2 linked regions of the Xenopus tropicalis genome follow. The protein of the gene in region 2 purifies or fractionates together with the protein of the main gene of each other region. This does not show direct contact. Links are inferred from orthologs where the notes say so. Each region holds a gene or a part of one and is shown on either strand. Other genes may lie near its edges. The genes, in order: slx4 and slx4ip.

Evidence for each region.
Region 1: the proteins of slx4ip (region 2) and slx4 purify together in Homo sapiens (affinity purification with mass spectrometry; 6 studies listed by BioGRID and IntAct, with this or other methods). This does not show direct contact. The link is inferred for Xenopus tropicalis from reciprocal best matches to the Homo sapiens genes SLX4IP and SLX4.

What each region holds. Positions count from the first base shown.
Region 1 is NC_030685.2:20,680,154-20,683,976, reverse strand, and holds part of slx4 (structure-specific endonuclease subunit SLX4), read right to left. Parts: coding exon 3,549-3,823; intron 3,453-3,548; coding exon 3,303-3,452; intron 3,026-3,302; coding exon 2,863-3,025; intron 2,783-2,862; coding exon 2,579-2,782; intron 2,120-2,578; coding exon 1,917-2,119; intron 1,684-1,916; coding exon 1,361-1,683; intron 1,012-1,360; coding exon 774-1,011; intron 697-773; coding exon 605-696; intron 1-604. UniProt on the Homo sapiens protein: Regulatory subunit that interacts with and increases the activity of different structure-specific endonucleases.
Region 2 is NC_030681.2:26,761,461-26,765,945, reverse strand, and holds the start of slx4ip (protein SLX4IP), read right to left. Parts: upstream 2,992-4,485; 5' UTR 2,915-2,991; intron 2,497-2,914; exon of another isoform or gene 2,395-2,496; intron 1-2,394.

The sequences.
Region 1 (3,823 bases), on a different chromosome or scaffold from region 2:
AATTAAAATTTCAACAGCCTATTTCATCTGCTGAATACTTTACAGAGATATATAATTACTGTAAACAGACTGAGGTACAGTACTTAGTAACCCACTGTTCTATGATTTTATGGTCATACAATTCATATAAATAACCCCAGAGTTCATATGCAGGTAACGAAGGTTCTTGGGTGCAGCCGATAGTACCCCAAGAGTCACAGAAACTGAGGAGCCTTATCTGAGTGTTTCATATCAAATCGTAGTATATTACACGGTATAAATGTTGACCACAGGCCAAGATTTCTGACCTAGGAAGCAGGTCTAGGCTGAAAGTCAAAATAGGCCCTGGCCCAATAAACAATGACTGTCTATGGCATCTTACAGCAGCCCCTCTGGCATTTGCCAGAATCCACAGATTGCCAGTCTGGGCCTACTAGGAAGGCTTTTCAAAAACCATTATGTGCACTTTTTCACTCTGTTGAGCTTTTCTGTTTATTTTCTATTTATGCTCTAACTCCCAGCAACGAGTGCTATGCCCCAGTTCACCACCTCCTATTTTTACCAGTTCTTTATTGCAACCATTCTTTCCAGAACCATAAAGGCAGGAGAGCCAATGAATGCTTACGGAGAGCTGTGGGTGGTCACTCTGCTTACAGGTCTCTTCCTGAAGTGAGGGGACAAATCCACTGGCTGTGACACTGCTCACAGATTCTCTTCCTATGAGAACAAAGCACCAGTAAATGACTGCAAACTACACTTAAGGGTGTGGTCAGATTTTACCTATCAAAGATTACCTCTGTTGTCCACTTCATGGCTGGTACCGAGCTTCCACTGGGTCAGTGTCATGCCCTCTCCTGCTAGCTCTGCAAGATCCAGTAATGCCTGCCTATCCTTCTGACTGTGGGACAGAAGATGCCCATCTTGGCTGCAGGTTTCAGTAGATTGTTGCTTGGCACTTGAGACTGAGCATGGAGGGGTTGCTGCCAGATGCACAGGTGTCACTGTACGTGGCTGTGAATTGTAAAGCTTGTGCTGGGCGAGAGAGCGACAGGGTCTAAGTGTCTTGTTTTACATTCTACACAATTTACCAGTATATGCCATCAAACTATGAACAGCTTTCAGGGTATCATGTTTGCTATAATATTAAATAAAAATATTAAATAAAAATACTGTATAACATAGGTTCCTATTTTGTATCTTTGATGATATAAGTTTCAGTGTTTTGAACACCTGCTGAATTGTGTTGGTTCTTTGATCAGCTGCACTGCGCAGTCCCACCTAAACTATGGCATGGCACAGATCAAAGAGCCAAGCAGGAAAGTATAATAAATAATGCTGTCACTGTGAAGCTTTGGAGCGAGCACTGTAGTATTGCTTCTACCTGTGCTGGAGGCTTCCATGGAGTTATAGGGGGGTTCAGCTCCTGGATGTAATAGCCCAGAAGATCTCTATTGTCCATCATGTTGCTGCCTTCCCACAGAGTACATATCTGCTTGTCCTGCAATGGCCTCCACCAAGCATGCTTTTCTTTCTCCGCTATACTGGATAACCAGCTTTGGGGCAAAGCTGTGTTACTAATAAGCTCAAGCTCTTCACTCAGGAGAATCGCCACTCTTTGCTGCAGTCTCTGGAAGGCAGCCTCAGGGGCTTGAACCAATAACAGAGGAGGAGGAGCGTTCTTTTGTTTTTTGCGACTTTTCTTTTCTGACACAAAAAGCAATAAAAGGGTCAGCATGCTGCAGATTAGGGTCTGGCATCAGAGAGCAAACATGAAATTAACCAACAAATAACTATGGATAACCCGCCCTTATTGCAGTCAACCGCCATCTCAAGTAGCAACACAACTGTGGCATCTAAGAAATCAACAACACATATACATGAACAATAGCAATTTTTTCCTGATATAACAAGGTGGAAGAATCCCCACTACGCTATACCTGGAACAGAGCTCTTAGTAGCAGGCACTGCCTTCTGAGCTATTTCACACATTGGAGTTGTTGGATCCTCCTGCAGGGAGCGTGACAATGCCATGGCAACTAGTAGGTCTTCTACTTCTGAGTTTGGTTGTACCATTTTCTTCTTTTTGGGGGGCTCCTTTTTCTTGGGTCCTGCTTTCCGCTTGGCCTTGGCCGAAACAACACTACAGCAGATGACAATTTGAATTCTTACAGAGAGGGTACAAGTTAGCAAACTGCCATATACTTTTGGTAGCAAAATAAATGGAAGTTTATTCCCTACCAACAGGAAGAAACCATCAATGCTGTAAACCTGGGGTTGTAGACAGATTTCAGCATTTGTCTAAAACCTATATGTAATCCACTCTAGCTGTAAGTGCTTATTACACAGTGTCTGGGTGCAGCAGCTCCAGGCTGGTAGCTTAAAGGGGGCATCCCTATATTAAATAAGTTACCCTGATAACTGAAATAAGTATTATGCACCATTTAAAAGTGTGCATTTCCATGATAATTGATCCTAAGAGCAGTTAGGGAAATTCAAATGAACCGACACAGAAGTAGCTGGCAGTTAGGATGTAATCTAATGTCTATAATAAATAATTATGTGGTGAAAACATTGAACATCAGTGTTGTGCCAAACTCACCAGGTTGCTGCCTCTGTGACTGACTCGGTTGTTTGCCTCTGGACTGCCTGCAGTAAGGTATGTGCAGGTACTTCCAACTGGGCAGCACAACGCTTCAGGTGAGAGGCTCGGCTCTTTTCTGAATTGAACGGCTTTCCGCACAAAGGACAGCTTGGAATGGTGGGCCCGGATGCTTCCCCTAAACTCTCACTCTGATCCAAGCACCTGTAAGGCAAAGGGACTAATGAAGCTACAGAAAATATTCATTAAAACTGTTCTATCTACAGGAAGAGCCACAGACATACCTGTTGACGTGCTGCTCTCTTATTACAGAATTCATAGCGGTCAGGTCTTTTTGGCAGAGTTGGCAGAAGAAGAGTCCTACATCTTCCAGGCTTTTCTGTTGCTCCCTGATGTCCATTTGCAGAGCTGCAGCTAAAGCGCTGTCACTTTGCAGCTGGTCATTCACTGAAGGCAGCAATGATAAATTAGAAGGGAGAGACAGTGAATTGAAGAAAATACTAAGGGGTGTATTTATTATAGTGTGTAATTAAACATCACCAGTAATGTTGCCCATAGCAACCAATCAGATATTTTCTTTTGTTTTCTAACTTGTGGTGACCATTCAAATCTAATTGCTGATTGGCTGCTATTGGCAACATCACCGGTGACGTTGGCTTACACACTATAATAAATATGCTCCTTGGTTTGTGTCTAGGTGACTATGTTTAAGAATGTCACTCACCATTAAGGTCACATGGTTCTGCACTATTTATTTTCATACGGTTAGGACAGGCCCTCTTAAACTGCTGCATCCGTTCCAAGACCAGATCCTTTGTACGGGGCTGTGCCTGGGGTCTAACTGGCTCTGCGTGGGCTGGGGGTTCATTTTCACCTGAACAACAATGAACGGGTCACACATAAAGTAATACTAAAAAATTTAAAAAATGACAGAGTCAATGTTTAAGCTTGCTTTTCTTACATCCCATACCTGTCTGTGATGGTCCAATTGAAACATTAGATAGATGGGTCTTGGGTTTTCTTTTTCTCTCTGTATCACTGCTGTCACATTGGTCTGCCTGTGCCACGGCCTTCTCAAGGTCCCCTTTTGCTGCAATGCTCTCTTCTGCCACCTTAGCACCCTCATTGTCAACCTGCTTCTTGCTGGATGGTTTGCTTCTTTTTAACCTGCTTTTGGCTGTGGTGCTGGTCTTTGGGACACCCTGCTCTGTTGGCTTGTTCTTTTTCACTCTTTTAAGGAGTTTG
Region 2 (4,485 bases):
TATTTTCCTTGCCCTTTAAAACTTATCTAGGCACTTGCAATTATGTTACAGCAATGACAATAATTTAAAACTATGCTTATCTCTTCAACTGAACAATTATGGATAAAAAAAACAGATATTTTGTTTTTTGTTCCCTAGTGCTTGAGTTTTTTGTTTTGTTTCAAAACCTATAGCTTTCAATTAGAAGATGAAATCAGTATGGTAGTTCCAATAAATACCAATTACGGGGCCAAATGTGCTTCTGTGAGAAAAATATTCTTCTTCAGGTTTGCAGAAAAATCACATGAATCAAAGGAACATATTATGAAGAGTGCAATGCTCTCCTGATCTCTGTACAAGTACTAGCAATTGCGCAAGGCAACATCAGGTGGGGTCATAAAAACATAAATACTCATTTAAAAAAAAAAGCTTGGTCAGGAGTCTATAAAATTGCACTAGCAACATGCTCCTGGGGAAATTACAGATTTATTACAACATGAATCAGCCAGAATCATCCTGTCTTGACATTCTGTATTGTTACTTTCACACTTTCCCAAAACTCTTCTCCAATTCACATTGAAAAATAAAAATGCTGAATTCGGAATTGCTCAATTGTAATTAAGACTAAAAACACACAGAATGTGATGATCTTGCCGAGTGGCGAAAGTTCAGAATATTTTTATCTGATAAACAGGTTGGAGCATGATTGCAGGGAACACTGATAACTTCTGTACTATAATCCGATAGTCAGTGCTAATACACGGGATAAAAAAAATAAAGTATTAAATATTGCTGGGGCTGTGGTATCATAAATTGCTGAGGCCACTGTTCCATGACATAACTTGTTATGAAATAAACAAAGCTGCTGAGTGACTATACACAGGGGTAATTATTACATACCAGCGTTATCAGTGAACACCCTCACCTCAGGTATTAAAAGCAAAATAAAAAACAAAAAAAAACAATGCAACATGTATAGTGCAAGGAACTGCTAGGGCTGTCATGGTCACTGGGTCATGAAGTACTGGCTACATCCTCAGTCCAACTTTCAATTTAAAAAAAACTTTGCTTTTAAAGGAGTTTTAAAGCCCACCCCCTATTCCTGTAGGCAAACAATATACGGGGCAGCTAAAAATTATTATCTTTAAAAATAAGCCCTGTTATTGGAGCTCCCTATATGATCTTTTAAATTTCGTGTCCGTGGTTCAAATGAAAATGTGGGCATGTTCTAACAGTTCCTGCCAGAAGCACAGTAGGAGGGGAATAACCAATAGCTGCACTAACGTCACACAAGGAAAGACAAATGTCAGTTCCCTACAGGGGGGTGCTCCTGTCCCAGGGGCCCTGCAAGTGCCCCCGCCGTCCGCTTCCCCAAACCCCCCCGATGTCCTCCCCTGAGCAGGCGGAAATTTAATGCATTAGGGGAGGACCAGTCAGGCAGGGGAAGCGCCGGCAAGGGTCGGGCCCACCGGGATTTTTCTCGATGTCTGTGCGGCCCAGTCCAACCCTGGTTCCCTATTAGGTCCACCTAGCTGCTGATTGGTTCCTATTGCACAGTGCGGTACTGTCAGCTCCCCTGCACAGCCTGAGAAAGTAGCCAGTGGCTAGTGAAACAACAGATGGGTGGGACTAGAAAGTTTTTTGGGGAAATTTTCAATAAATCAGCACAATCACATATTTTTTTTAAGTATATTTCTTCAGTATTTGGAGGAGTATAATGCACTGGCACATTCTTGTTTTTTACCCATTATATCCCTTTTAAAGAAAATGCAACAATAGTCATGTTGGTTGGTGTGCCAATGGGTGAGGCTTTATGTGACTGTGGGTGGGCCTTTATTATTACAGTGAAGCGCATACACTCCTTTCAACATATTAAGCTTACGTCAACCACTACAAAAAACACTAGCTTTTTAAAATGTATTTGTTGCCTTTAATCAAAATTTAAAAAAAATAAATACATCATGTTTGATGCACATTGCACTAATAGTTATAAAGCTGCCACTAGGTGGCAGTGCAACAACTTAAAATCACTGTATTTTTATTTATATAGCACTTATGTAGGCAGAACTGTACAGCAGAACAGTAAATGAACAGGGGGTAGTTTTAATAATAAATACTTAATTTACAGTTACATTAAACAATTAAGAGGCAGGTTTTCTCCCCAGATCTGCCTAAATGGTCCACACAAATCAGCTGCTGAATATGCTCCAGTGATTATATATGGTCATGGAACTCCTTTATGACTTATATTTTACAATAGTGCATTCACTATATAACTCGCTGGGTCCTTTTGCTGAAGTAGTACTGAACTCTGCTGAAAGGGGCTTATGGGAACAGTAGTACAGCAATAGAAGGCCACTAGAGGTTGCACATATGCCTAATCGTTATGTTTAGACAATATTTTGCCGCCTTTACCTTAGAGACAAATGCCTTTAATCCCTCTCTTGCCTACATCCCCCACGGTCCCATGAGCTGGAGACTGCGAAGCAGCAACAAGAAACCGCGCTAATACCTAGGGGGGAAATACTTAGTATGGGCAAAGCAGCAGCGCCTTCCCCATTCAATGATGGACGCTACGGTAGCCGGAAAGAGGCAAAAGTCCTCGTTACGACCAATCGATTATTTACGAGTTTCAGGAAAACATAGTAGGCCTTCGTTTCGATTTAATCGGAATGCACAAACGGTCTACAGTAAATCCGTCTTTGAAAACACGGGAATCCCAGCGCGTCAACGTTTCCATGGCTACACCCCCCCCACCAGCGCCTTCTGTTACAGCGACTTATACCTAATGACAAATGGCTTGACGTTAAAAAAATACCACGTGACGCACTATGCCAAGTTGAAATTACCGACATGTTTTTAGATATTGGTATGCATTGCGTTAACGGGGCAAATTCCCGGAGTAGCGTTATTAATTTGTTATCCTAAAAGTTACATCTGCGTCAGGGGGCGTGACGTCATCAAGCTGCGCCCTAGTGAGTGGCTTCGCTGCCCAACCTGTTTGCTGGCATGACCTTGTGTCCTCGCTTGGGACAGTCTTTATCCTTATTGGTAGTATAAAGAGACTGCTGGTGAGTGGTGGCTAAATGGCTTTCATTTATTGGGTTCTCTGTGCTTTGGTTTATATGTGGGTTGCATGAGTCTGTGTGTGTATTAGGCATGCTTTCAGGAACCAGGAACTAAGTAATAGTCGTAAAGGGAGACTATATAAACCAATATAACAATAAAAAGTATACTTTGTTTAATAATACAGTGTATAGCATGCTTTTTTCACAAGAGGACCAAATAAGGGCTCTTAAAACGCAACTTTACTGCTTTGTTGTTATTTGAACATATGAATGGCTGTCGTCATGTATTATTACTATTATTAACATTTATTTATAAAATACCAATCTGTAAATGGAATGTAAATAGAAGAGCCTTCTGGAAAAAACATATGCACCTTAACATAAAATAAGGTATCCAAAATGCCTGGAGTTGATCATTATTACCCTAATGACAAGGGGTTAGTTGGTGTCTCAGTTATAGGAAGAGTTCAGTATCAATTTAACTTCAAAAACTATTTGGTTGCTAAGGTCCACATTACTCTAGCAACCAGTGACTTGAAAAAAAATAAGTAATAAATATACAAAGTTTCTTGTCTGCTGTTGTCAGTGTGACCCCTATTTGAAAGCGGGAAGAATCAGAATAAAGAAACAAATCATTTAAAAACTATAAGAAATAAAAAAAAAAAAAAAGAACAAAACTTTCTAATAAATGACCGACCATCTTAGTAAAAGGTAACTTGTAGGTGAACTACCACTATAAGGCTGGGAGCATATGGAGTGAATTGTCTGCTTTCCTTCGTCTGGGGAAAGCCAGTGCAGTTTTCTCCTAACAGGAGCACTAGCCCCGAGCGGCCTAAAATTTTGGCACCTCCCAGTTGTTGTATATTTCCTTGTCTTATAAGTTAGTTATACAACTATATTGTCGTTATGTGCAATGTTTTCAAGGAATGACTGAGAAAGACATCCTTGTACAATGAATGTTCTCGTATAAATGTGACAGGGATAGAACAGTAGTAGCACAGAATGATGTTGCTGACTGGTTAATAAGTCTGTAAACTGCATAAAACTCAGAGCTGCCACAAGACATGTGCTTAAATGTGTTAAAGGAAACTGTGCATTATATTTCGGTGTGTTTTCCTTAGTCTCATGTGTGCCGGTTCTGATTTTCTGTAGACTTTTTAGTGCATGCTGATACTGTCCTCAGCTTAAAGAACTTCGAGAGATCAGGGAGTGCCCATGAAACCTGCATGCAGTCTTCCTGCTGATCTTGCCTACTCATAAAGCATAATGTTTAGGGTTTTTTTCTGTGACAGACATATTTCCTATTTTTTATGTCTTTCTTTTATTTAGATAATCTGAGGTATGGGGCTAGGAAACCTTTGGAAGAACTACAAAGTTTTAATTGTTATGGGAACAGGTCTTGGACTTGTACATTGGGGATGGTATAATATTAAGTCAA